Linked DNA regions of Oryctolagus cuniculus. The protein of the gene in region 1 purifies or fractionates together with the protein of each later gene. This does not show direct contact. Links are inferred from orthologs where the notes say so. Each region holds a gene or a part of one and is shown on either strand. Other genes may lie near its edges. The genes, in order: IKBKG, TRAF3IP2, ATM, BIRC2, MALT1, NFKBIB and CNTN2.

Region 1 (4,244 bases):
TTTGAAGATTCCTCAGCGCATATCTGACTCCAGGGGCTACACTTGTTAGACTGTTAGTGGACTCAGAGCCCCTCTTGCTAGGTCTGTGAGGACTGCTGTAGGCAGTGACCACAAGCTTGGTGGCTTAAAGCACCCGAAATGTAATCTCGTGGTTCTGGAGGACAGTAGTTGGAAAGCAAAAAGTCGACAGGACTGCAGCCCCAGAGGCTGAGAGGAGAGGGTTCTCTCTCGTCTCTTCCAGCTTCTGGTGGCTCTGATTTTTCCTTGGCATGTGGCCACATCTCTTTATTATCTGCTTCTTTTTTTTTTTGACAGGCAGAGTGCACAGTGAGAGAGAGAGAGAGAGAGAGAAAGGTCTTCCTTTGCCGTTGGTTCACCCTCCAATGGCCGCTGCGGCCGGCGCACTGCGGCCGGTGCACCGCGCTGATCCGATGGCAGGAGCCAGGTACTTCTCCTGGTCTCCCATGGGGTGCAGGGCCCAAGGACTTGGGCCATCCTCCACTGCACTCCCTGGCCACTATCTGCTTCATTTTTTTTAAAAAAAGATTTATTTATTTGAAAGGCAGATAGAGAGGGTAGGATGGAGAGAGAGAGATGTTCTGTCTGCCGTTTCACTCCCCAGATGGCTGCAATGGCCAGGGCCAGGCCAGGCTGAAACCAGGAGCCAGGAACTTCATTTGGGTCTCGCACTTGGGTACAGGGACCCAAGCACTTGAGCCATCTTCCGCTGCTTTCCTGGGTGCATTAGCAGGGAGCTGGATTGGAAGTGGAGTAATCAGGCCTTGAACCAGTGCCTATATGGGATGGTGGCTTAACCCGTTACACCACAATGCTGGCCCCTTCTGACTGTTTTCACCTGGCTTTCTTCCTTGCATGTTTTCCTCTGTCTTTTGTCTTTTATAAAGACACTTGTTAATGGATTTAAGGCCCACCTGAATAACCCAGCAAGCTCTCATTTTGATCAAGGCCCTTAGTTTACATCTGCAAAGATACTTTTCCCAAATAAAGTTGCATTTATAGGTTTTGGGGCTACCATGCAGCCTACAGTACTTGGGAGGGAACATCCCCTCCGGCTTGAGGGTCTGTGTAAGGGTAGGGGTCCCAGCGCACACCGATGTCTCCTGCTACAATAATCCTTAGTTTTCTGCCTCTGGCAAAGTTCCTGCCTTAGGTGTGCATCCTGAAGATGGGTGCTGGTACAGAGTCCGTAACCAGTGCTAAGCCATGGCCTGTGCAAGTCTCACAGAGGTGGTTCAGCATCTTCCTTCGGAATGAGGGTGTTTGTGACCTCTTAGATCGAAACCCCATTTCGGCCAGAGGGATCAGCATTTTGCCTTCATGGCCCCAGAGCTCCTGCACAGAGTGTACTTATCCTGCTGGGGATGAGAATTCCCCTGGGTCTCATGGGATGCCTTTGCTGCCTTTCTCGAAGAGCGTGCCTTGGATGAGCAGGCAGCCCTGGAAGAACCAGCTGTGTGAGATGGTGCAGCCCAGCGGCGGCCCGGCCGGGGACCAGGACGTGCTGCCTGAAGAGTCTTCTCTGGGGAAGCCGGCCATGCTGCATCTGCCCGCAGAGCAGGGTGCTCCTGACGCTCTCCAGCGCTGTCTGGAGGAGAACCAAGAGCTCCGAGGTGAGGTGGACAGCAAGTAGGTGGGGCACAAAGTCAGGGGATCTGGTCCTGCTGAAGGCAAGGCTTCTCTCGTGCACCTCTGCGTCTGCTGGGTGTGGGGCGAGGGCACCCCGAGAGCCAGCTTGTGCTTCCAGCGTAGCTACCTTGCCTCCTGGTTCCAGGCGGGGTTCCCTGGGAGCAGACCGAGGTGCATGGCAGGGTCAGTACTGAGGCAGAGAAGGGAAGGAGATGGGAGAAAGCAGGGGTGGGCAGCAGAAGTGGGCTGCCTTGGCTGACCCCCAGGGACTCTGGGGCTGGACTGACACTTCCAGGCTGGACCAGCGTGGCCCAGCCTCAGAGGACCTCTTCCCTGGGAGGGGACTCAGACTTTCCTGGGGTGGGTTGCGGTCTTGTTTGAGAGGGGGGTGCTGTGGCCTGTCCTGGGAAGTGGGTGTGGCCCACCCTGAGAGGAGGTGGTGTTGACCAGCATGAGAGGCATGACCCCTGCTGCAGTGGGGTAGCTGATGCCTCAGTTGTGTCTTTAGTTGGCCATTCATGTCCTAGTTGGCCAGTGGCTCTTGCCACAGTTGTAGTCCCATTCCCCACCTCCTTAAGTGAGTGTTGGATGTGATGTAGGGTCTTTTGCTGATGAGTCACGTGCTCTGTGGCCTCAGGGAGTGGTGCTGGCAGATGCCATGCACGCAGGGAGCAGACCTGGGTCTGGAATGTGTGTCCTCTTCCTAGGAGACAGCTAGCCACCAAGAGACTGCTTGGTTTCCTTGAAGGTTGCATTGGAGAGGCCCCGCCTTTTTTTTTTTTTTTTAGATTTATTTATCTGAAAGGCAGAATTACAGAGAGGCAGAGGCATACAGAGAAAGAGAGGCCTTCCATCCGCTTGTTCACTCTGCAGATGGCCTCAACGGCCAGAGCTGTGCTGATCCCAAGCTGGGAGCCAGGAGCTTCTTCTGGGTCTCCTATGCGGGTGCAGGGGCCTGAGGACTTGGGCCATCTTCTGCTTTCCCAGGCCATAGCAGAGAGCTAGATCGGAAGTGGAGCAGTGGGTCTAGAACCAGCGCCCATATGGGATGGTGGCACTGCAGACGGCGGCTTTACCCACTATGCCACGGCGCTGGCCCCGAGGCCCTGTCTTGAGCACAGAGCAGCAGTGTCTTCTACCTCAGTTCTGTTGACCTCTGGGGCCAGCTAATTCTCTGTGGTGAGGGCTGTCCTAGCCATTGTGGCATGGTGAGCAGTATCCCTGGCTTCTACTCACAGGTGCCAATAGTGCCCCTCCAGTCCCCTGGGAGTCACAGTTGTCCTTGAGTGGGACCCACTGTGCTGGGGTCTTCAGAACAAGTCATGCACATAGAGCTGGCAGCCAGATCGGGGCCTCTGCTCATCCCTAGGGGCCCAGAGCATTTCAGAGCAGTTGTGCAGGGCTCATGCCATGGCCTGTGGTGGCTCGGCTCTTCTGCCTCCTAGACTGTGTGTTCAGCACAACAGCTTTGCTAAGTCTCTGGCAGCAAGTGGAGACTTGAGGCTATATTGCCTCCAACTGGGAAGCTGGATAAAGCTTGGGGGGCAGCATGTGAGACCCCCGGGGCCCTGAAGGTGATTGTCCCCCAAGGTGCTCATGATTGTGTCTATAGGTAGGCTGTGAAACCAAACAAGGGAGGGTACAGTGTTTGCTCAGAACGTTTATGAAGAAACTTCCCGGAAGAGCTTGCCTGTATTCACGTGACATGTCTCAGAGACAGAAAGCAGTTGAGTGGACGCCAGGAGTGCGGGCAGGGGGCCTACGGGAGAGAATGCTGCTGGGTTTGGGGTTTCTTTCTGGGGTGCTGGGAATGTTCTGGAATTAGGTAGTGCTGATGGTTGCATGATCTTACAGCTTCATTAGCTAAAAACCACTGGATGACTATACTTTAAAATAGTTAAAATGGTGAATTTGATGTTACATGAATTTTTACGTCACTAAAAAGAAATTTAAAAGACATTGCACACAAGTTGAGACTCGGGTTGAGTGGGCAGGCAGCAGTGATGGCCAAGGGTTTGGAACATTCAGTGATGTGAAACTACTGTCTACCTCTGTTGGATACGGTTCTGTGGTTGCCCTAGAACCTTGCACGTCACTGATCGCTTTTGTCAGATGCTTCTTCCTCTACCTGGGGTGGTCGCTGGGTATGTGGCTTTCCTCTCCTCTGGCCTCTGCCAGCCACCTGCCGCTGGCACTGATATATGCTCATGGCTTAGTCTGGCGAGAAGAAGACTGCTCTTATTTATTTATTTATTTATTTATTTATTTATTGACAGGCAGAGTGGATAGTGAGAGAGAGAGAGACAGAGAGAAAGGTCTTCCTTTTGCCGTTGGTTCACCCTCCAATGGCCGCCACGGCCGGTGCGCTGCGGCCGGCGCACCGCGCTGATCCGATGGCAGGAGCCAGGAGCCAGGTGCTTTTCCTGGTCTCCCCATGGGGTGCAGGGCCCAAGCACCTGGGCCATCCTCCACTGCACTCCCTGGCCACAGCAGAGGGCTGGCCTGGAAGAGGGGCAACTGGGACAGAATCCGGCGCCCCGACCGGGACTAGAACCCGGTGTGCCGGCGCCGCTAGGCGGAGGATTAGCCTAGTGAGC
Region 2 (3,500 bases), on another chromosome or scaffold:
CGGCTGGAGCTGTGCTCATTCGAAGCCAGGAGCCAGGAACTTGCTCCACATCTCCCACGTGGGTGCAGAGGCCCAAGTACTTCGGTCATCTGCTGCTTTCCCAGGTGCCTTAGCTGGGAGCTGGATTGGAAGTGGGGCAGCCAGGACTCAAACTGGCACCCAGATGGGATGCTGGTGCTGTGAATGGCAGCTTAACACGCTCCACCACAGTGCTGGCCCTTATTTATTTATTTATGAGAGACAGAGACACAGAGACAGAGAGAGCACATGCTCCCATCTGCTGGTCTCACTCTCCAGATACCAACAGCCAGTGTCAGGTCAGGCTGAAGCCAGGAACAGGGAACTCAATCCATGTCTCCCATGTGGGTGGCAGGTGATGAGCCATCACCACTGTGTTCCAGAGTGTACATGATAAGGAACCTGGAGTCAGGAGTTGGAGCCAGGAATCTAATCCAGGCACTCCAATATGGGCTGCAGGCTCTACCTAGATTTTTATTAGAGTCAAAGGCATGGAGGGGGGCTTCCAAGAGAGAAATAAACACCCCTACCTAGATTTTTAAAATCTTAACGTGTGGTCATAAGTTTCAGAGTTTTTTTTTTTTTTTTTTTAATGGAATAAAGCCTAAGAATTACAGTTTTGGTCCCGCTACAAGTTAGGATTCAATCAGAGAAAACAGGAGCAGCTCCTGCTATTTAAGCAGAAGGGGAGTTAATACAGGGAAATGAGTGCTTACAAAATTGTTGGAGGTTGGAGAAGCAAGCGTTAGTTGGACTTGAGCAACACTATAGAATAGGACCACCCCGTGCTCCACCCCCACAACCAAGGGTGCAGCGAGGAAGGTGGGAATCAAAGTCAACACCACCACATCCTTGGCAATGGCTGGATCTGCCCTGGAAAAAGTGGGTGCCCAGGCCCTGCCCTGAACACCTGTGACCTCATGACTGTGCTTATCAATGGAAGCCACGTTCTCCTTCCCTTCTGCCTCCCACACCCTCCTCCTGACGGTTCATCTCAGCACAACGTTTGTGGCAGTGCTGGCAGCCAACATCATCACACAGAAGCCGTGTTGCAAAGGTTTTCATTCATATATTAACAGCAGGGGTCCTTTTAAATCTTCATGGCCTCTTTCACCTTTTGATACATAATGGAATGTTACCCATCATGAGCTAGAAGGTACCTCTTTTTATTTGAATGCCCTTAACATCAGCTGTCCGTGTGTTGTGGGTGACCTGTGTGCCTTGGGAATGAGACTTAGTTTCCCAACTAGTCCTTGAATGGAGAAATCAGAACTGCTTCCCCCTCGCCACAAGGAGCTCAAGGCCAGCTTAACTGCTGTTGATTTAGGCTCCCTGGGGTGCCCCTCTTCTTTCTGTCTTGGCTAAGCAATGGAGGCAGAGGAGAGCGATCTTCCGCTGATCCCTTCCCATGGTTCTTAGAGCCTTAGCGCCCCTCAAGGTTTGCCTCCATGCAGAATGAACATTTCCTTGAAACGTGTTCCTCCGCAGGGACCAGCCGAACCCCCAGCTGCCCAATAGGGCCGGGCTTCTGGAGGAGTCCTCGGAGCGTGCCCAGGCTCTGTCCCCAGCTGCTGTACCTCGACGCCCCAGCAACACTGCAGCCAGAGGCACTCTGAGGACAAGCAATTTGCCAGAAGAGTTGCGTAAGTTGTTTGCAATGCTGTTTTCGCCTTCTGCTTGTCAGTCTTGTCGACTCTGACCTCAGAGCTTGCTCATAGACACGGGGAAAGAAAATGTCCTTCTTTGCTTCTTGCTTAGAGAGTAACCCGCGTGTTGTAGGAATGTTTTCAGTGAATCTGACACCTCCAGAAATGCTCACACACTGCTCACCGCTAGATTTTCCTGAACACATACTCCAACAAATAACGCCAACGCTTTTGCTCTCTGCTAAATGATGCTCTGGGGCGGACTAGTCCCTGGGTAAATTGATTGGCCGTCCATGGGGTATTGGACACGGACCTGGTGTCTCACCGTAAACCAGCAGCAGCCGTCAAGAACGAGGTCATTTCCTGTAGGAATGAGCAATCTTGTTTGGAAAAAAAATCGGCCTCGCAGTCTCCATACTGCTTCACAACCACAAGCCAACTAAGGCTTTTATTTAAGGAAACATTTGGCTGTGTCAGGTGATGATTCTTTTTCCACGTTTTGCTGCCAGAACCAGAAATGTTGAAATATCACCAAAATGTTCTCAGATTAAGGTCAGTCAGGAGAGTTCGTTCCAGAAATCTTAAGAAACAGCACTTGTGAAACTATTATCAGTTGTGCTTGCTAGAGAAGCTCAGATTTTTTTTAAAGATCTATCTGTTTGAAAGGCAAGGTTACTGAGAGAGAGAGAGAGAGAGAGAGAGAGAGATCTTCCATCTGCTGGTTCATTCCCCAAATGGCCACAACAGCTGGGGCTGGGCCAGGCTAAAGCCAGGAACCTGGAACCCCATCTGGGTCTCTCAAGTGAGTGGCAGGGGTCCAAGCACTTGGACCATCTTTCCCAGGTGCGTTAGCAAGCAGCTGGATCAGAAGTGGAGCAGGCAGTACTTGAACTGGTGCCCATATGGGATGCCAGCATCCCAGGTGGCAGTTTAACCCTTTCTGCCACAGTGGTGGCCCCAAAGCTCAGGGGCTTCTAATAAGCCCTTGTCAAATCTGGGTGGCTCTGAAGCCCTTTGCCTTTGTCAGCTCCTTTTGGGGAATCGTAATCTGCAGTCAGTTACAACTCTGAAAGGTTTCCATGGCAAGGAACCGTTGTTGCCTTCATGCCAAAAATGTTTCTTAGCATCTTAACACCTTCTGCATTTTAATTCTGAGCATTTCTGGAGAGCAGGTGCTGCCCCGCACAGGAAACAGCCCTGCTGTCAGTCCGTGGATCACGCACGTCTCATCATACTCCATAAAGGGAGTCCTCGAATCACTTGAGTAGGAATCAGAGGAGTGTTAGGGGGAAGAAGAATCGAACACCATCCCTATGCCTTGCTGCTTAAATGAGTGAATGTGATCCACACACACACACACACACACACACACACACATCTATGGGAGTTGGGGCTCCAAGACACAAGAGGCGAAGCCCCGCGCTCAGATGAACACACAGATGCCTATTTTTCTCTCCCCTGTCTGCCCCAGGGGATTCCTGCCATGTAACTGGTCCCACACACAGAGATTATTCGTGTGTTGTGCACAGTCTTCCCCTAAGACGTTAGCCTGAGGAAACACTGGTTGTGGTCCTGACTGGGTCCAGCCGGTCCCCACTGTGCCGTCCCCAGCTCTAAGCGGGCTTAGGGCTCGGTGAAGGAGTGTGTGAGCCACGGGGCTCCTTCCAGCACTGGAGTTTTTACCGACATTTCTGAGCTATGTTTTTAGTCAACTCCCACTTCCTGGCCTTCCTCCCAAAGTAGGAGGTATGTGTGTGTCTGTGTGTCTGTGTGTGTGTGTGTGCACACGCACGCTCATTCTCCCCCTACTTGCTCTTGTCAGGCCAGAGTTCAGGG
Region 3 (3,975 bases), on another chromosome or scaffold:
GGCCCCGTTTTTGAGCTTAAGTGGCTCTCGTTGCTAGCAGTACAATCTTCTTTATTCTTTGAAGGGACAAACAATAACAAAAAAACCGTCTCCCACACAGACAATACACCCTGACAGACAAGTGGCACAAATGGAGGAAAAGCTAACTAGGGCGAGAAAACGTTCAGCTGGAAGGCACTTCCCTTCCGTAACTGTTCGCTCATCAAAGCAATAGGAATTGCAGCTGCTTTCAAATTTGCAATTGGCATTTCAACCCTCTACACGGGAGGACGTCCTGCCGGGAGGATGGAGGAGGAGGACCACCCCCACTCGTCCCAAATCCGGAGTTCTAAGGGTTATGAGAAAGACGTCACGAAGGTCTTTCTACAAAGCTGGGTGGCCGGGAAGTCCTTATTTGTCCTATTTTGGTCTCAGCTCTGACAAGGGAAAGTACGCGCAAGGTTGAAGACGACGAAGTCCGCCCCGTCACGTAGACAACTCTCTTTCAGGGGTCCCAGTGAAGTGTGCAGGCCTGACTTTCCCTCCGAATCCGGGCCTCAGGTGTTGCCCTCCGAGCTTCTCTCCGGCTCTCCCCTAGACAAACAGCCCGAGCAGGAGAGCATCCACACACAACGAGGCGTACGCGACCAGGGCCAGCGAGCGACGGAAAATCACAGCCAGTCCGAACTTGCAAGCGGGGAAGCAAAACCCCAAGGCTGCCCCACCAAGAGAAAGGCTTTAGCTCCGAAGCGCCTTCCCTCCTTCTCTGCCTGGCCCAGTAACCCTCCCGCCAGCGTCCGCGCTTACCCAATACTAGCCGGGCAACGTCCGAGGGTAACAGCATGATCGACGCCGCAGAACGAACCACAATAAGAGACGAGACGCAGGTACAGAGAAACACAGCGACAGCTCCTACGCCGCATCTCCCGGTTCCAGTGGCGGCACTGAACCCGCGGCAATTTGTCCCGCCTCTTTCGCTCCACGGCAGCCAATGGCTTCCGCCAGAGAAAGAAAGGCGCCGAAATGAAACCCGCCTCCGTTCTCCTTGGAACTGCCGTCACTTCCGCCCTCAGAGTTGGAGGGGTGGGGCCGGAGAGCGTGAAGGGGCGGGGTGCGAGCGCCGGAGCAGCAGCCAGAGGGCGGGCGACTGACACAGAGTCGCTAGCCATTGGTGGGCAGCGCGCAGGCGCGTTTCCGCAGACGAGCAGAATGTTTTGGGGGTGCGCAGTGTTGGGCGACGGAAAGCGCGTGATACTTGTGCGCATGAGCAGAGTGTGCTCTGTGGCCTGTTAGCGCTTTCTTCCGAGAGGACGCTGCGAGTTCACGCGGCGTTTGAACCGGAAGCGGGGAAAGCTGCGGGGATAACGGAGTGTGGAAGCTGTGGCAACCGGAGGTGGCGAGAGGAGCTGGGGGATCCGTGCTGCAAGCCGCCGCCGGCACTGCCTGGGCCGTCAGAGTCTAGCGGTAGGGGTGCGGAGCCACGCAGTGACTTGTGTATTTACAGAACTGAGTCGTATTGGACCCAGTCTGTCCTTTTCCCCCGACTCCTAATCCCACGCGCTCTTTCAGAGCGGCCCGTGAGCGCTCTCTCCCTCGTTATTCTCGCTGCTGCTGCGGCTACTCACCGCACTCCCTCCGAGCCCCCTGCGGCGTTATCCTTGAACTTCCTTTTAAGTCTTCTGAATTGAGTTCTCCTTTCTCCGCGTCTGCTTCTCCCGTGCCCTTAGGGTTCAGATTCAACTAGGCGATTGGAGTAGTTACCTTTTTTTTTTTTTTTTAACCTCGTGTCATAATTGGTACTTTTAGTTAGCGAGCATTTAGTGAGATTTTAACTATAGCCTCGTGGTTAAGAATGTAGGTTCTGGAATCACAGTACCGAGTTCGAATTCTGCCAGCTGTTTGACATCTTCCTTGGAAAATTACGTGAGGTAATCCTTCCCTGTGGTGAGCCCTGCAGAGCTGTTTTCCCAGGTGCAGATAATTAACTACACTGCAAGGTGGATAATGTTCTAGAAGAGCAGTTACAGGTCCTGTGGAAACTCGGCCTGGAAGAAACACTTTAGTTTGCCGGGAGCCCTTGCAGTATCTAAACTGCCTTAGGGGATAGTAGGAACTTTCCAAACAGAAAGAAACTTACCTGTAAAAGGCACATGGTAGAAGGTTCTTGAAGATCAGGGGTGAGATCTAGTATTGAAAGAAATAGGTTCGGGGAGTTTTCAGTATGTTTAGGTCACAGGAATGAATGAGACCAAGGAGATAAGGATGCTGCTTGAAGTGGGAAGGGAAGAAATATCGAAAGAGACTTATGGAGCAATCATAAAGGAAGGGAATTCATTCTGATAACTGTTAACGTGGTGACTGGCTGTGTTCCAGGTGCTTTGCTAAACATGCACCTGCATGCTTACAACAAGTTTTTGGGGTAGATGCTAGTATTGTTTTTATCATTAAGGTTTGGACACATGAGCTAACTTGCTCTGGCTGGATTAATACACATTGACTACAGAGCCAAGAATTGCATGCCAAGGACAAAGTTATTTCTAGGAGGATGGAATGGGCATCATTGTCAACGTTCTGCAAAGGGATTAAGCTGGTTAATAACAACGAATATTGAATGCGCCGGTGCAGAGCCTGTTATTTAGGAAATTTGTGTTGTTTCTGTGGAATATGAATGAATCGTAGGTAGTCTGGATTAATGTATAAGTGGGGTTTGTCTTTATCTGGTGATACTTTTACTCTGACTGGCTCGTCTCCACCTCCTCCAACCTAACATACTCTTTTCCATCTTAGTGCCCTGGCGTTGTGCAAGATTACTTCCCTCAAATGTCAGTTCTTCAGCTCTTTATATGATTGGCACTGGTTTATTCAGATCTTGACTTTCTTTTTATACCTTCCTTTGAGATGTTTCCTTATAATTTATCTAAAATGGTCCTCTCTACTGGTTTTTTCTATTATTGTTTAAGTATTAGTTTCTTTCTATTATTGTTTAAGTATTGCTTTCTTTGAGGCAAAGATGAAAGCAAGTATTCTAAGATGTCCTAAATTTAATTACACAGCTAGAGAGTGGAGAGGAGAGAGAAGTTAGTCAGCTACCAGTTTTGGCCAATCAAAACAAAAAAAAACTGCTCGATGTCCTGAATGCATGTTGAAATTTTAACTCCAAGGCCATCAAGGCAATCCCAACTGATTAGGAATAGCTAAATACTTAGAGACTGCCTTCCTGCCTTTTAGTTGTACTGCCACTCTTCTCTATATAGGCTCATTATAAACAGTTTATACTTTCTTTTTCCCAAACTTTGAGTATAAAATATTTTGGTTTTTTAGATCCAGCAAAAAAACCTTTCAGACAGCTCTCTGCTGGTGGTTACAGGAGCTTCTAGACCACTCCTTTTTTCTGGCTAGTTTCTGTAATTGCTCCCAAAACCCTTTTATTTCAGAGTATTCTTCGTATTCTTCAGGTTTTTTTTTTTTTTTTTTTTTTTTTTTTAATTTGAAAGAGTTACAGAGAGAGAGAGAGGTCTTCTATCTGCTGGTTCACTCCCCAGATGGTCACAACGGCCGGAGCAGCACCCATCCAAAGCCAGGAGCCTCTTCTGGGTCTCCCACGTTGGGTACAGGGGCCCAAGGACCTGGGCCATCTTCTACTGCTATCCCAGGCCATAGCAGAGAGCTGGTTCGGAAGAGGAGCAGCTGGGATTAGAACCTGTGCCCATATGGGATGCCAGTGCTTCAGGCCAGGGCTTTAACCTACTGCCCCAAAGCGCCGGCCCCTAATATCCTTCAGTTTTAAGAATTTGGTTTTTAACAGTATACATCACATTTTGGAATTATGCATTGATTTATCAGTTTGTTTATTTTCTACCTCTAGGTAGAATTTCATGAAAGCAGGATTTATATGTTTCATTGATTTGTCTAGCTGTCCCTGATATAGTACCTTGAGCACAGTAGTACATAGTAAATATTGTTTGTATCAATGAATGAATATCTTCTGTTTATTTA
Region 4 (2,893 bases), on another chromosome or scaffold:
GCTATAGAGACAGAAATCTTCCATCCACTGGTTCACTCTCCAAATGATTGCAGTGGCTGGGACTGGGCCAAGCTAAAGCCAGGAGCTTCTTCCAGGTCCCTGGCACTTGGGCCATTGTCCACTGCTTTTCTCAGGCCATTAGCAGGGAGCTTGATTGGAAGTGGAGCAGCCAGGACATGAACCAGAGCCCAATGGGATGCTGGCATTGCAGACAACAGCTTTACCCATAATGCCACAGTGCCGACACCAAATGAAACAATTTATATTCAAAGGCTTGTGGAAATAAAGTGATAAAATGCAAATAGAAGTCAGTATTATTAATTCTTGGTGGAAGGAATACAGAAGTAGGACACTACTGTCCTATGAAATTCTATGCTTGCTTTTTACAAAATAAAGGAAAAGTGAGGTTCTAGAACTTATAAATACATATGTTTAAAAATTATACAGACCCAATATATAACACACATGTCTTAATCTGCAAGTTTTCTTTTTTTTTTTTTTTTTTTTGACAGAGTGGACAGTGAGAGAGACAGAGAGAAAGGTCTTCCTTTTGCCATTGGTTCACCCTCCAATGGCTGCCACGGCCGGCGCATTGCACCAATCCGAAGCCGGGAGCCAGGTGCTTCTCCTGGTCTCCCATGCGGGTGAGGGCCCAAGGACTTGGGCCATCCTCCACTGCACTCCCGGGCCTTAACAGAGAGCTGGCCTGGAAAAGGGGCAACCAGGACAGAATCCAGCGCCCCGACCGGGACTAGAACCCAGTGTGCCGGCCCTGCAGGCAGAGGATTAGCCTATTGAGCCACGGCACCAGCCTAAATCTGCAAGTTTTCCAAATGACACATTAAAATGCATGCAAGTCATTTTGTTTGTTTTCAAGCTCTACTTATTTAGTGCCTAAAGTATTTGTAGGTTGGTTGGTAGTGACTGTACAGTATAGTTAGAGGTGTTTAAAATCTAACATATTCTCCCCCCCCCCTTTTTTTTTTTTACATGAAGACGACTTGTCATTAATTCGGAAGAATAGAATGGCTCTCTTTCAACAGTTGACATGTGTGCTTCCTATCCTGGATCATCTTTTAAAAGCCAATGTAATTAACAAGCAGGAACATGATATTATTAAACAAAAAACACAGATACCTTTACAAGCAAGAGAGCTGATTGATACTGTTTTAGTTAAAGGAAATGTGGCAGCCAACATCTTCAAAAACTGTCTGAAAGAAATTGACTCTACATTGTATGAGAACTTATTTGGTGAGTTTTTTGGGAAGATCATTTTAGAAATCCTTAGGCTTATGTTCATGTCTCCTGACAGGAAAATAATTATAATCAGCCAACTATAATCTGTACATTTTACTTGTTCCAAAAAAAATGAAGTCTTTTATGGCCTAAGTAGTATGCCTGAATTTGAAAGTTTCTGATCAATTATAGGTAAAAATCGACATTATTCAGTAAGTAGTGGGTACAAAAAAAAAGTGGTTAGTAAGTGAAGCAGTTTTCTGTTTGGTAGAGTGATATCTTATGTTTTCTTTACTCAGTGGAAAAGAACATGAAGTATATTCCAACAGAAGATGCTTCAGGTAAAATAAAATTTAAGACTTGAAACCAACTTAAAATCTTTAATTACTGGAAGGTAAACTGGAAACTGAATTTTATTGAAATTCTTTTTGTTATTAGGTCTGTCACTGGAAGAACAGTTGAGGAGGTTGCAAGAAGAACGAACTTGTAAAGTGTGTATGGACAAAGAAGTTTCTATTGTATTCATTCCCTGTGGTCATCTTGTAGTGTGCCAAGGATGTGCCCCTTCTCTAAGAAAATGCCCTATTTGCAGGGGTATAATCAAGGGTACAGTTCGCACATTTCTCTCATAAAGGAAAAGTAGGCTATGTATTACCCATGTAGAAAAGTCTTTAAAATATTGAGCATTTGAAGCCACCTGAAGTAAAAAAGGAATTATTGGTTCTTCAATCAGATAGATTCATGTTCTGCTTTGCTTTGGTATTAATAATTTTGTTTCCAAAAAGATAGTGTTATGTATTTAATCTTAGAATCTGTTTATTTGCAAAGGAAGATTTCTGTTTGAAGAACTAAGTTATTATCTATATGTGGACGTGGGAGAAATAAAAGAAGTAGTGTCAGTGCTTCTTAGGTATCATTTCAGGAGTTTCTAGATTTGGTGTTCCTTCTGCAAGCTTTGAGTAGTGCTACATGAGAGTGTGGTTTACAGAATTGGAAACCAGGAACTTGAGCTCATCAGAATGATGGTACCAAATTCTCTTTGGTGCTTTTTACTTGTGTTGTAAATTAAGGATTTTTTCTCTTACTGATAATAAGTTTTCCCCTAGTTTGTGAGAAATATCTTAATAAAGTGTTTAAAATGGATTGCATTATCAAAATGATTTTTCCTGTCTTGATTTTAAAAAGTAGTTTTGTTAAATTCTTCATTGCATTCAAATGCTATTAAGTAAAAAATTTAATTAATAAAACAAGTGCTTTTTAAAATAATGTGATTTATGAGAACTCCTTTAGATGATACTCTCTAGTTGCTTTGTGTAATATTGATGTATTGTTGAATGGAAAATGAACCAGTATGCTGTTTGATGTCACAGTTTAAATCTCCACTCCGGACACCTGTATCCCATAGGGGGTGCCTGGTGTGAGTTCTGGCTACTCCACTTCTTTGATCTAGCTTAAGTAACTTATTTTTAAATGCTGTGTTATGTTAATATAACACTGCTGATGAGAATTTTAAGAAAATTTAAGAGTGGCATTGTTACATTTTAGCAAAGCTTTTAAAGTTTGTCTTAGAATAAAACAGATGGATTCTTGTACCTGCTTCTGCATAATATTATATTTTGGTAAAAGTATGAAGAAAATCCAGTCTCACAGGTATGTA
Region 5 (3,500 bases), on another chromosome or scaffold:
GATCCCAAAAGCTGCTGCCGGGCAGCACGTTGATTCTGCAGTGTGTTGCTGTGGGAAGCCCTATTCCTCACTACCAGTGGTTCAAAAATGAGTCACCCTTAACACATGAGACAAAAAAGCTCTACATGGTAGGAAGTTGACTTTTGGGGTATTTGGACGGGAGAGGGGCTGGGAAATGTATAAAACAAATGATATAGTTGAATTTGAAGTGAATATTAAAACTGATGGGGCCAGCATTGTGGCACAGTGGGTTAAGCCACCACCTGTGATGCTGGCATCCCCTATGGGCACCGTTTGTGTTCCCTCTGCTCCACTTCGAATCCTGCTCTCTACTAATGTTCCTGGGAAAGCAGCAGGAGATGGCTCAAGTACTTAGGCTCCTGCCACCCGTGTTGGGAGAGCTGGATCAAGTTCTGACTCCTGACTCCTGACTCTGGCCTGGCCCAGCCCTGGCCACCTGGCCATTGTGGCCATTTGAGGAGTGAGCCTGTAGATGGAAGATCGGTTTCTTTCTCTCCCCCTCTCTCTATAACTCTGCCTTTCAAATAAATCTTAAAAAAAAAAAACAAAAACAAAAAACCCTGATATGCATTAGAATGTGTTAATGCTTCCGGTGTTTTTACTTCAGGTCCATTTAATATTGATTCTTACATTTGCAAAAATACTGGAATTCAACAGGGGCTTCTTTGTAAAATGTCAACTAGTTTTGCATAAACTCACCAGTGTTAAGATCATTTTATCATTAGCTTTTTTTTATTTAAGTTAGTGCATAATCTAAGAATGTCTGAAACTTTCTGAAATGTTTTGTTTTGGAGGCTTTTTATTTTAAAAAAAAATACAGTTCAAATTAAAGTTGAAGAGGAAATATGTATGTGTTCTGATACCAACGTAGGTGCCCTATGTGGATTTGGAACATCAGGGAACCTATTGGTGTCGTGTGTATAATGAACGAGACAGTCAAGATAGCAAGAGGGCAGAAGTCATCATAGGTAAGCAGTATTGCTCAGTGTTCTGACAAGTGGAATGTAAAATGAACCGTATAAACTGAATGTGTAAGCAAAGGAAATTCTGCTTTTCCCCTAGTACCATTTAATGGTATGTTAAGTATTAGAAATTATTTTGTTTATATAGAAATTTGAGAGAGTGCATACTAGATCCATAATCTAAGTTCACATCCAAAGAGCAAAAAACCAGAAAAATATCGTATTCACGTTGTTTTAGTTATTTTTAAATTTTATAGTTTATTTTAAATGCACAGCAAAAAATGTCTTCTTTAAAGCTTTAGCTACAGAAAACTCAATTTGGTTACAAAATATTTTAATAAAACATTTTTATAAACATCATGGGGGAAGACATCTGGCCTTCCAGATGCCTGTATCTCTTATCTGAGGGACCGTACCTGAGTATGGTACACACCTCCAGCTCCTGACCCTGATTCCAACCCTGCCAGTGCAGACCCCGGGAGACAGCAGTGATGGCTCCTGCCACCCTTGTGAGAGACCTGGATTGAGTTCCTGGATCCTGGCCCAGCCCCAGTTGTGGTGGGCATTTGGGAATGAACCAGGGGATAGGACCTCTCTATCAGTCTTTCTCTGTCTCTCAAATTAATAAACAACTTTTAAAAAAAATAAAAAACCTTATACAGACGAAAGACGTAATTATCAATTAACAATTCATATTCTGAACTGCATAATTGGGAGTTTATTCTATTTAAGCTAATTGCATTTACAGTTGCATTGTTAACAAATAGGAGATGTTGGTGTGTGTTGGCTTGCCAACATGTCCCTATGTATTTATCTCTCTGCTTGATGGCTGCCCTTCCTAAGATGGATTCCACTATATTCACATTTGTTTTCTCTGACACAAGGAAGAACAGATGAGGCAGTGGAGTGCACTGAAGGTAGTGTCGTTCTTTGGTCTGAGACCACATCTTCTGCATGCGGGTTATTCTCGGGACTGCTGGAGGGTTCTAGTTCTCTGAGTGCAGTGATGGAAAAAATACTTACTCCAAGAAGCTGTTTTTCTTGGAGGATATTGTTTCTTGGTCTTTGAAGCTTTATAAATTGCCATGAAAACTACTGAACAGACACACTATGACAATAACTAATCTTGAGTTAATATTGATTCCGTTGATTTTCTGTTGCATAGGAGAACAAAGTTCCTGCATAATTTTTGAATAGCCAAGATTTTCAATGAACTCTTATTTTTATCTTCATAAAATTTATTTTTTAAAAAAATGGATGACTATACTGTCATGGTTATTTGTTTGGATTATTTTATCTATCCTTTAGCCAGAATAAATTGCCTTTCAAATGCTGAAATAGTTTCTGTGGAAGCTTGGAGACAGAAGATTTATTATTTAACCATGTTTATCAATATTTCTAATTATATTAATAAGATATTCTGTTTTAATCTAAAATCATGAGGATTTTATAAACTCTAAGGCTGTAGATTAATCTACAATGTCACCTTTACCATAATATATAAAAAGAACTGAAAATATTTCAACATAAACTAATCTAAGCATTGTGCTTAAATTGCAATGAGTAAATATTAAAACATAGATCACCTTCTCTTGGTGCAAACATTGGTTTGCATAATTAGGTTTGTGAATAGCAAAGTATTTTTTCAATTTCTGCCTCTTCAAACTGTTATGTAACCTTGGGCTCTTGTGTAAAGCAAGAAAATAGTGTTAAGTCTTACATTTCTTGATTTTTCTGTCCTTCATCTCCATAACATCAGTTTGGCAGTCCTATAATTACTGTCTTCATACTAATAACTTGGTTGTAAGCAAGAGGGGATTCTAATCACATGGTCTGTTAACTCTACCTGGGTGAAGAAATCCTAATCAAACTCCTCTTCCTCTCTTCTCTTTTTTGCCTAATTGACAGGCAGAGTGGACAGTGAGAGAAAGAGAGACAGAGAGAAAAGTCTTCCTTTGCCGTTGGTTCACCCTCCAATGGCCGCCGCGGCCGGCGCACCACGCTGATGTGATGGCAGGAGCCAGGTACTTCTCCTGGTCTCCCATGGGGTGCAGGGCCCAAATACTTGGGCCATCCTCCACTGCACTCCCTGGCCATAGCAGAGAGCTGGCCTTTAAGAGGGGCAACCGGGACAGAATCCAGCACCCTGACCGGGACAAGAACCCGGTGTGCCGGCGCCGCTAGGCGGAGGATTAGCCTAGTGAGCCACGGTGCCAGCCCTAATTGCATGGTTTTTAAAACTCACATTGGAGACCTCTAAGAATGAGTGTAAGCTCAGGGTAATTCATGGAAATTATCACCTTGACATGCTGCTTCTATACCTGTGAAACCTCCATATTTTTGTAGTGTTGAATGCACTGTGAAGTAATAACTTTCAAATATCTCTATTCAGAAAATGTAAAGATGAAAATCTAGCTATAAAGTTGCTCTAGAATTTCAGATGGAAATATCTTTTTCCAAAAATGCCTACAAAGTCCAAACATTTTATGGTTAATTGATGCATATTCTGAACAGTGT
Region 6 (4,222 bases), on another chromosome or scaffold:
GAATGGGAAGGGGGGTGGGCAGCAGCAAAGAGAGAGGAAAGTTTAGGAAGGCAGGCCTGGGGCTGAGGCTGTACGTTTTTCTCGGAGGTCCCCAACACCCCCCATTCCCCAAGAGGCTGCACCCCTGCAAGGCGGGGCGAGGGGCCCCGGGGGAAATGTCTCCCCTCTGCCACCTCCCCCCAGAGTGGGATGTGGGAACGAGTCCAGCTTCCTCCTCCCCTCCACCATTTCCCCATCTCACCTGAGCCTCTTGCACCTTCCCTGCCTGGGTCTCCAGAGGGTCAGAGGCTGGGGGAGGAGGGGGAGCAGACGTGGTTACAGTGGGGGGAATGGTTAAGAGGGAATGAAGGGTTAAAAGTGGCCGCGGTGGGAGCGGGGGCAGGGGCGGCAAGAAGACCCAGGGTCATGGGGCGGTGGAGTGGCAAAAGCTGAGCGGAGGGAGGCAGGGGAGGGGGCTGGCGGGAGAGGTGGTGAGTAGGGGCAGAGTGGCTGTGGCGGGGCAGGGTTGGGAAGAGAGGCTGGAGGAAGCTTAGGAAGAGTTAGACAGGGCAGAGCAGTGTGTGAGTGTGCGGGGAGGGAGAGGAGGCTCCCAAGGCAGAGGAAGGTTTAGACAGGAAGCGGGGCTCGGGCTGGAGGCGGGTTTGGGAGAGGAGGAGCGGTGGAGGTGATGGCACAGGAACTGCAGGGGAGAGACGGGACGGGACACCCGGGCACCCCTAGCATCCTACGGTTGCCCCTGACAACCAGGTGCTCTTAGCAACCGAGACCGCGGCAACTTTTGTCCTCAGTAACGAGGGTCCTCAGCAACCAAAGTGTGAGAAACACACGATCATTAGTAACTTGGAACACGGACGAGGTAAACGGACCCTTAAAACCTCGCGACCCAGAGACCCGCCACCCCGCGAGTGTGGATCAACCTAACTACAAGCCTCGGAACCCCGCTCCCTCAGTGTAGCCCTGCGCTCCCAGCCCCCCGCGCCCGCCCTCGGGCCCCGGGGCCTGCAGCCCTCGGCCAGGCCCCGGCGCGGCCCGACCCTTCCACCGGGGCCCCCGACTCACGATCCGGCTCGGCCATGGGCTCGGGGCGGGGGCCCTCGGGGCTGTCACCGACTGCTCTGTCCCGTGACGGCACCGGAAACAGAAGGGGAAGGCTTCGGGCATAGAACTACGACTCCCAGCACCCATCTCGGCCGCATACAGGGCTTTCCCGCAAACGCCCCGTGCGCGCCCGAAGGCGGAACTACGAGTCCCAGACGGCCTGGCGGTGGCAGCCATGTTAGTAAAGGGCGCTCGGAAAATGTGGGTATTGCCCGAGAGCCGTCGTGCATCCCAGTGCTCTGATTGGCCACCCTGCACCAAGGGGGCGGGGCGTGACCGATTTCGCCCACTCTAATTGGATTTACCAGGGGGCGTGTTGGGGAATTTCCCGCAGGGCGGAAGTGCCGGAGCTCCGGGCAGAGCCCAGCGGCAGGCGGGGAGCCGCGGGGGGCCCTGAGGTGGCTGGGGGCCATGGCTGGGGTTGCGTGCTTGGGAAAAGGTGCGGACGCGGATGAATGGTGCGACAGCGGCCTGGGCTCTCTGGGGCCGGACGCGGCAGCCCCAGGAGGCCCGGGGCTGGGCGCAGAGCTGGGCCCAGGGCTATCGTGGGCTCCGCTCGTCTTCGGCTACGTCACTGAGGATGGCGACACGTGAGTGAACCTTAGGCTGTTAAACGAAGCCCTCGGATCCGAGGCCTGATTCTCCATTCGTTTCTGAGTGTCTGTGGTTTCCCAACCTGTCACTCCTGAATCTGACTTCCGTTGCGGGACTTCCTGACTTCACACCCCCCCCATCCTAATTTGTAACAAAACCCAGTTTCCGATCAGCTTTGAGCCCGATTCGATCATTGCCGACCTACTTTCCCTGAACCTTGATTTTCATGCCCCCCCCCCCGAACCTACATCCTCCTAACCCACTGATCCCAAAACCCGATTTGACCTTCTGACCCCCAGTCCTTAGTAGAGTTGGGGCTCAGGCTGTGGCTCCCCACCCCCCCATAGCATCTCTGATCTGAGCTGCTGACTTTGCTTCGGGGGACCCTCGGCCCCCGCCTCTAAGAGCCTGCTCCTGGGCTCTGATCTTCCCGGCTTCAATTCCGAGACAGCCCGTGAGCCACGGGAGAGCTGAGGTGGCCTTGCACCTGACCCGGGTCCTGTCTGAGCCATGGACAGTGAAGGAAACAGAAGCTTTGGTGTGGCGTGGGGGCCGGGGGTCGCGGTCACCAGGGGCGGAGCCTTCTCTGGGTGGGAGGGTAGGAGGGAAGAACCTCCCAGGGACAAGACTGTAAAGGACCAGCTGGGCACCTTCTCTGGGTTTTGTGGGGTTTTTTTTGCCCGTTGATTGCTGGGTCCCCAGAGGCTCAAAATAGCGCCTGACCCACGTCTTCTCCAAGAACCAGCGAGGGTTTCGCTACTTTTCTCCCTCTTTTCACTTTCTATTTCATTAGCCCCTAACCTGACTTTTATCTTCTTTCTTCTGAATCTTGGGTTTAATTTATTCTTTTTGTAATTTATTTTGTTCTTTTTTAAATTTTTTAAAATATTTATTTATTTATTTCGAAAGGCAGAGTTAGAGAGAGAGGGAGGGGAGAGATCTTTCATCCACTGGTTCTCTTCCCCCAGAGAGATTAAATGGCCATGGCTGGGCCAGGCCGAAACCTGGAGCCAGGAGCCTCTTCTGGGTCTCCTTAGCGGGCGGCAGGGCCCACACACTTGGGCCACCTTCTGCCGCTTTTCCCAAGCTATGAGCAAGGAGCTGGGTTGGAAGTGGAGCAGCCGGACACGGAACCAGAGCCCGTATGGGATGGGTGTCCCAGTGGTGTCCTCGCCGCGGCCATAATGCTGGCCCTGTCTTTTTGTGATTTCTTAGGATGAAAGTTCATGTCATTGATTTGAGAGCTTGCTCCTGTTTTAATGTAGGTTATTGAGTACTATGAATTTTCCCCTGAAAGCTGCTTTAGCCTTGTCTCACAATTCTGATATGTTGTATCTTGATTTTCACTTAATTCAGTATTCCTTATAATTTTCTCTTTTGAATTCTTCTTTGACCAGTAGATTTAAAAGTCTGCTATTTGGTTTCCAGATAGTTTAATATTTCCAGGTATTTTTCTGCTGCCAATTTTCAATTCCATTGTGGGCAGAAAACATACTTTGTACGTTTTAAATTCTTTTAAGTTTTTTGAGACTTGTTTTACGGCTCAGAATGGTGTACACACACTTAAAATACTCTGTACCCTGTGGTTAATGTAGCGTCCTCTGCATATCAGTTGGAGGCTGTGTTGGCCCACAGAGCTCCAGGCTGCTTTGTCCTTGGTGATGGTTTTTCACTTGTCTGTCAGTGGTTGAAAGGGAAAGTCTGAGAGCTCCAGCTGTAACTCTGGGTTTGTCTGTTTCTCTCTCTAATTCTGTCAGGTTTTGCTTAATCTAGTTTGAGGCTCTGTTATCAGGGCACAGATATTTAGGATTATGAAATACTGTTACTCGATTCATTGATCTCCTTAGCGTTTTGATATTACCTTCACTATCTGTGGCAATATTCCTGGCTCTGAAATCTACTCTGCCTGATTTTAAAATACTCCTTTATTTGAAAGAGTGAGAGAGAGAGAGAGAGAGAGAGAGAGAGAGAGATCTTCCAACCTCTGGTTCATTCCCCACATGGCCACAACGGCTGGGGCAGGGTCAGGCCGAAGCCAGGAGCCTTCAACTCCCTCTGGGTCTCCCGCGTGGGTGGCAGAGGCCCAAGCACTTGGGCCGTCCTCTGCAGCCTTCCCAGGTGCATTAGCAGGAAACCGGATCAATAGCGGAACGACCAGGACTAGAACTGGGGCTCTGGTGTGGGATGCTGGCGTCACAGCGGCCGCTTAACCCCCTGCGCCACAGCACTGGCCCCTGTTTTGTTATTTTAGTGGTCACTTTAAGACAGCAGTTGGCAATGGAGCCTGCCACCTGGTTTTGAGTTAAGAATGGTCTTTATATTTTTTTAATTTTTAAAAAATAATCAGCAGAATAATACTGCTTGGTAAGTGGAAATTTTATGAAATTCATATTTTGGGCCCCAATAATAAATTGGAGTGCTCTTTTATTTGCATATCGTCGTCCATGGCTATTTGCAGTAGCAGAGCTGAGTGGGTAGAAGGGAGACCATGTGACCCACAAAGCCTAAAGCAGTGCTCTGTCCCAGTACA
Region 7 (4,232 bases), on another chromosome or scaffold:
GGGCTGATTGGGCAGCGTCAGGGGGCAAGGTTCATTTCAGGGGCTCAGGGCCTACGCGCAGGCCCGCAGAGAGACAGAGAGGTGAAGTCAACACTGGCAAGGCAGACAGGAAGGATGTCCTGGACGTGGTCCATGGTCCTTGTGCCTGTCTCTGTCCAGCACCGCCCCAAGTGGCCCCCGGCATCTCCCGCAGGAACAAAGAGGACCGGCTCCCAAGCTGGGGAAGCCCTGAGAGGGGGAGCAGAAGGAAGGGAGGGGAGCGCCTGTGGGGCTGGCGGCAGGGCCTCCCGCGCTCCTGCTTTGAACCTCTCACGCCAGCCCCGGCGGGTGCCCCGCCACGCTCCAGGCTCGACAGGTATGGCCATCTGAAGCTTGGAGGCTGGCCTGGCCCTGCCAGCTGCTCGGCATCTGACCGCTCCCCAGTCCTGCGTGTGCAAGCTGGACAGCAGGCGGACCAGAGGGGGGCGAGACGGCAGTGGCAGCCTGACAGGCCGACTGGTGCTGCAGATGGCTGGTCCCCACCCAGCCTCCCGCCCCCACCCCTCCAGGCCCCGGCGTCCTGCGTGCATCTCCACGAGACAGGAACAGAGCAGGAGAGACATGCCACTAGCCAGGGTAAGCACCTGGACTCTCAGACCTGCCAGGGACCGTGGTCACCTTTAACTCCTTCAGTTTACCAGGAAGGCTCAGAGAGGGCAAGGCGCTTGGCCAAACACACACAGCCGAGCAGAGGCAGAGCCCAGAGAACTCTGTAGACATTCAGAGTGCCTGGTCTGGGACCTGTTCATGACGTCACACTGCTAGGGGGTTAGGAGTGAACTGGCCTGGACGCACATGTACTCATGCGGAGACTGATGACGCGGTTACAAAGTAGCCTGCAGATGGTGATGCACCGTGGAATCCCATTGTCACAAAACCCCACGAATTCCGCACACCAATAGCAAACCTGGGGCGTGGGCTCCAACTTGCTCAGGGCAATGGCTAAGGGAATTTTACTACCTATTCTAAAATTTTCCCTGACGTTGGGCTATTCTGACCAAAAGCCCAGTGCTATTTTTGAGCACGGGAAACAATGGAGAGGAAGGTGACGCGGGGTGAGCGGCAGAGGCGGCCGCTCCGTCCCACTCGCCGCCCGCAGCAAGCTGGGGACTTCAGATTCGGATCCGTGCCTCTCACGGGCGACTGGGGGAGTTGGGGCGCCACGGGTCTCCCCGGTCGGAGGAGCAAGAGCCACTTTCCGCCTCTTCACCCCACCCCTCTGCAGCCCCCCAACTCAGGGCTGGGGGAGGCGAGGCGGAGGGGGGCTGGGCAGGGGTGCGGAGGGCGGGCGGCGCTGGCCCATGCATTATGGAAGACGGTGACAGCAGATGAGGGAAAGCCGGGAGGGTGGGGACGGGAGGGGCGGGAGGGGGCAGGAGGAAGCCATCTCCAGGGCCCGGGCGCCGCCGAGGACCGGAGCCAGCCAGTGAGCGGAGCCGGGCAGAGGGAGGAGCACATCTTGATGCAGAGATGCTGCAGTGGCTCCAGGCGCGCACACACACTCGCGCCCTCGGCCGCCGCCGCCGCTGCCGCCGCCGCCGCCGCAGCGCCCAAGCCGGCGGGCGCCCGGAGGAGCGGGCCCCACGGCTGCCAGCCCGGCCGAAGGGCTCGCCCGCTCGGACAGCGTCCACCTGCGCCAGCCCACACCCTCCTGTCACCCCAGGTAGGGGCCACTCCTTTTTGTCTCCTCCAGCCCCGGGGCTGCCCGGGCACTGCCACCGCGGGCAGGGGCTTCTGGAAATATCCCTCTTGTAACTTGGGAGGGGCCGGGAGGGGAACACCCAGCTGGCCGGCAGGGGCCGGTCTGACTTCTCAGCCCAGCCCCAGGGTGGCTCCCCACCCCCACCCCCACCCTGTGTGCGTGGGCGGCATCCTGCAGGGCCTCCACAGCCCCAGCTGACCGGAGAGCCAGCCCCCCGCAAAGTGTCCAGGAATTCCTGCTGGCCGGCTGCTCAGGGAGAGGGCAGAGGCTCCTGGGCCATCCCCGCCCCGTGTCCAGGTCCGCCCAGTCTCTGAAGCTGAGCCCTGGGCTCTGGCCTGCCCGGGACAGGTCCAAGCATGGAACTGAGCTGGAGTCCCTGGGATTTGGGGTCACCCGGGGCTGCCTCTGCAGGGTTGACCTCTTTGTCAAGTCTGGCCTCCGCTGGAGGTGGGGGTGGGGGCTGTGTGAGAGAGAGGAAAGAGTGGAGCACAAGTTTGAGCGAAGGCCTGACGGGGCGCTGGGACTCCAGGAGGGGAAACTGAGGCAAGTCACATCCCCGAGGGTGGGGGCTGGGGCTCCCTCCCTTCCCCCTCCTCTCCTCCTCGCTGGTGGGAGGGAGGGCTTTGCTTGAAGTTTGTCTTTCCAGTGAGGCAGGGGGCTGGGGCCAGACAGGTGTGAGGAGGGGGGAGGGGCACGGCGGGGTGGGGGTGGGGCTCTGGAAAGAGCACCCTGGGGCTTACATAATGAGCCAGAGGTGTCCAGAACTGAACCCTGCCACCTTCCCCAAGGGCTGGGAAGCCAGAACAGGGGCTGTCGCGAGGCAGTGGCTGGGGAAGGGGAGCGTCCCGTGTTATACCCTTCAGTCTGGGTCTCTGGGGGGCTGTGGGTCAGCACTGTTGGGTGGTCTGGGGGTGGGGTGCCGGCAGCCGGCAGTGCGCGCCATGGACCTCAGCTCCGGGCAGCAGTGGGTTGGAGAGGAAGGGGGCCAAACAGCACCACCCCATGAGCACCTGCTCTCAGTGTCCGCCCGGGAGAGCCTCTCAGTCCACTTAGGCTCCGAGTCCCTCTGCTGCCTCGTCCCATGGCCCACCCAGAGGGACGGAGACCAAGGGCAGCAAAGGGTGGACACCTGTGGGAGAGGCCAGTCTGACCGCACTTCCTGGGGGTGGGGCAGGAAGACAGCTGGGAAGTCTGAACAGGTGCCTGGCCTTGGGAGAAAGAAGTGCCTGCTAGTTAACCCCTTCCTAGCCAGGCTGCTGAACCTTGACAGGGCTTCTGCCACAAGGTCATGGGGAGTCCGTCACCAGTAAGAGAAAGGCAGGAGGTGAGACAGATGGGAAGGGGTCCCCCGAGCTGATGGTACCCATCACACCCAGGGAGCGAGGGAAGCAGAGGAACACTGCCCAGGAGATGCTCCCAGCCCCGCCAGCTGCACGCACACTGACTCTGCCCTCCCTCCGCCTCCTGCCTGGCTGAGCTCTTCCCTCGCACCCCTCCCCTGGTCCAAGCCCAGCTCCGGCTGCGGCCCCCACGCCCCGCGCTGTCCCCGCCAGATCTCACTCCCTTATGCAACTCCATTCCAGCACCTTCTCTCCAGCCCTCATTCAAATAGACTCCCGTGGGAAGGGCTCGCGGGCATTGCGCTCGAGGGGTGGTGGGAGCTGTGGCTGACCACGCGCCCCACGGCATCCTCTCCAGTTCTGAGGCCATCGGGGTCGGGGGGACCACACAGGTGGGATGGGGTGGAGGGTGTGGGTTCCCCGCCAGGAGCCTCCTCCCGAGCCAGTGTGGTAGAGAAGGTGAATTTCTGGGGGATCTGTGAGCCTGGGTGTGGGTGGTATTTGTGTTCTTGGAGGGACTCCTAGGGCAAAACTAGGAGAGCGGTAAAGAGGTGGTGGAGAAAGGAGGCAGAAGCAAAGCTGTCGTGAAGCAAGGTGCATTCGAGTTAGACTGCAGGAGACGCCTCCTGGGCCGTGGCCATGGCGGGGGGTGGGTGTGCTCTCCTTCAGGATGGGGTCTGGTCCAAGGTTAGAGGCAGCTGGGACAGGGCTACCTCTCCCAGCTGCCAGTGATCCTCTCTCAAATGGCAAAAGGCGGGTGAGCCTAAGGACCCGCTGAGAAGCCAGGCACATGTCCGCCCCTCCAGCTGGCTACCTCGCCACCTGGACCAAACCCCCAGGGCCGTGGCCAAACCTGCGGCACTGCAGGGTGTTCCGGCGTGCTCTGCGGCCTGGTGGTCACCATCCAGAGCCAAGAGGTTCTTTCTTTGGTTTGCTAAGTCCTGGCTACAGAATTCGCCCATTTGCTTTGTCTCCAAAGAGGGAGCAAGCAAGCACAAGGGCAGGTCACGTTCTCCAAAGCCCAATAGCCCACCCTGGGGTACACGGGAGCCCCGTTGCACCCTGTGGGAGTCCTTCCTAGCTCAGAAGCCTTTTGCCTCCCATGGACGTCCACCCTCCTCCACACTCAGGGCGCCCCGAGAACTTCCCAA

Evidence for each region.
Region 2: the proteins of IKBKG (region 1) and TRAF3IP2 purify together in Homo sapiens (affinity purification with western blotting; 3 studies listed by BioGRID, with this or other methods). This does not show direct contact. The link is inferred for Oryctolagus cuniculus from reciprocal best matches to the Homo sapiens genes IKBKG and TRAF3IP2.
Region 3: the proteins of IKBKG (region 1) and ATM purify together in Homo sapiens (affinity purification with western blotting; 7 studies listed by BioGRID and IntAct, with this or other methods). This does not show direct contact. The link is inferred for Oryctolagus cuniculus from reciprocal best matches to the Homo sapiens genes IKBKG and ATM.
Region 4: the proteins of IKBKG (region 1) and BIRC2 purify together in Homo sapiens (affinity purification with western blotting; 6 studies listed by BioGRID and IntAct, with this or other methods). This does not show direct contact. The link is inferred for Oryctolagus cuniculus from reciprocal best matches to the Homo sapiens genes IKBKG and BIRC2.
Region 5: the proteins of IKBKG (region 1) and MALT1 purify together in Homo sapiens (affinity purification with western blotting; 4 studies listed by BioGRID and IntAct, with this or other methods). This does not show direct contact. The link is inferred for Oryctolagus cuniculus from reciprocal best matches to the Homo sapiens genes IKBKG and MALT1.
Region 6: the proteins of IKBKG (region 1) and NFKBIB purify together in Homo sapiens (affinity purification with western blotting; 5 studies listed by BioGRID and IntAct, with this or other methods). This does not show direct contact. The link is inferred for Oryctolagus cuniculus from reciprocal best matches to the Homo sapiens genes IKBKG and NFKBIB.
Region 7: the proteins of IKBKG (region 1) and CNTN2 purify together in Homo sapiens (affinity purification with western blotting, with the first as the bait; 3 studies listed by BioGRID). This does not show direct contact. The link is inferred for Oryctolagus cuniculus from reciprocal best matches to the Homo sapiens genes IKBKG and CNTN2.

The regions. Positions count from the first base shown.
Region 1 is NC_091453.1:132,763,712-132,767,955, forward strand, and holds the start of IKBKG (NF-kappa-B essential modulator), read left to right. Parts: upstream 1-1,444; coding exon 1,445-1,631; intron 1,632-4,244. UniProt on the Homo sapiens protein: Regulatory subunit of the IKK core complex which phosphorylates inhibitors of NF-kappa-B thus leading to the dissociation of the inhibitor/NF-kappa-B complex and ultimately the degradation of the inhibitor.
Region 2 is NC_091436.1:60,012,890-60,016,389, forward strand, and holds part of TRAF3IP2 (E3 ubiquitin ligase TRAF3IP2), read left to right. Parts: intron 1-1,506; coding exon 1,507-1,661; intron 1,662-3,500. UniProt on the Homo sapiens protein: E3 ubiquitin ligase that catalyzes 'Lys-63'-linked polyubiquitination of target protein, enhancing protein-protein interaction and cell signaling. Transfers ubiquitin from E2 ubiquitin-conjugating enzyme UBE2V1-UBE2N to substrate protein.
Region 3 is NC_091432.1:99,975,900-99,979,874, forward strand, and holds the start of ATM (serine-protein kinase ATM), read left to right. Parts: upstream 1-1,175; 5' UTR 1,176-1,907; intron 1,908-3,975. Other genes in the region: protein NPAT, read right to left, coding at 787-823.
Region 4 is NC_091432.1:94,088,540-94,091,432, forward strand, and holds the end of BIRC2 (baculoviral IAP repeat-containing protein 2), read left to right. Parts: intron 1-996; coding exon 997-1,251; intron 1,252-1,535; coding exon 1,536-1,577; intron 1,578-1,674; coding exon 1,675-1,868; 3' UTR 1,869-2,393; downstream 2,394-2,893. UniProt on the Homo sapiens protein: Multi-functional protein which regulates not only caspases and apoptosis, but also modulates inflammatory signaling and immunity, mitogenic kinase signaling, and cell proliferation, as well as cell invasion and metastasis.
Region 5 is NC_091441.1:19,722,751-19,726,250, reverse strand, and holds part of MALT1 (mucosa-associated lymphoid tissue lymphoma translocation protein 1), read left to right. Parts: coding exon 1-128; intron 129-892; coding exon 893-989; intron 990-1,867; coding exon 1,868-1,900; intron 1,901-3,500. UniProt on the Homo sapiens protein: Protease that enhances BCL10-induced activation: acts via formation of CBM complexes that channel adaptive and innate immune signaling downstream of CARD domain-containing proteins (CARD9, CARD11 and CARD14) to activate NF-kappa-B and MAP kinase p38 pathways which stimulate expression of genes encoding pro-inflammatory cytokines and chemokines.
Region 6 is NC_091449.1:15,862,007-15,866,228, reverse strand, and holds the start of NFKBIB (NF-kappa-B inhibitor beta), read left to right. Parts: upstream 1-1,422; 5' UTR 1,423-1,509; coding exon 1,510-1,688; intron 1,689-4,222. Other genes in the region: SIRT2 (NAD-dependent protein deacetylase sirtuin-2), read right to left, coding at 1,060-1,275. UniProt on the Homo sapiens protein: Inhibits NF-kappa-B by complexing with and trapping it in the cytoplasm.
Region 7 is NC_091444.1:20,419,922-20,424,153, forward strand, and holds the start of CNTN2 (contactin-2), read left to right. Parts: upstream 1-1,432; 5' UTR 1,433-1,509; coding exon 1,510-1,702; intron 1,703-4,232. UniProt on the Homo sapiens protein: In conjunction with another transmembrane protein, CNTNAP2, contributes to the organization of axonal domains at nodes of Ranvier by maintaining voltage-gated potassium channels at the juxtaparanodal region. May be involved in cell adhesion.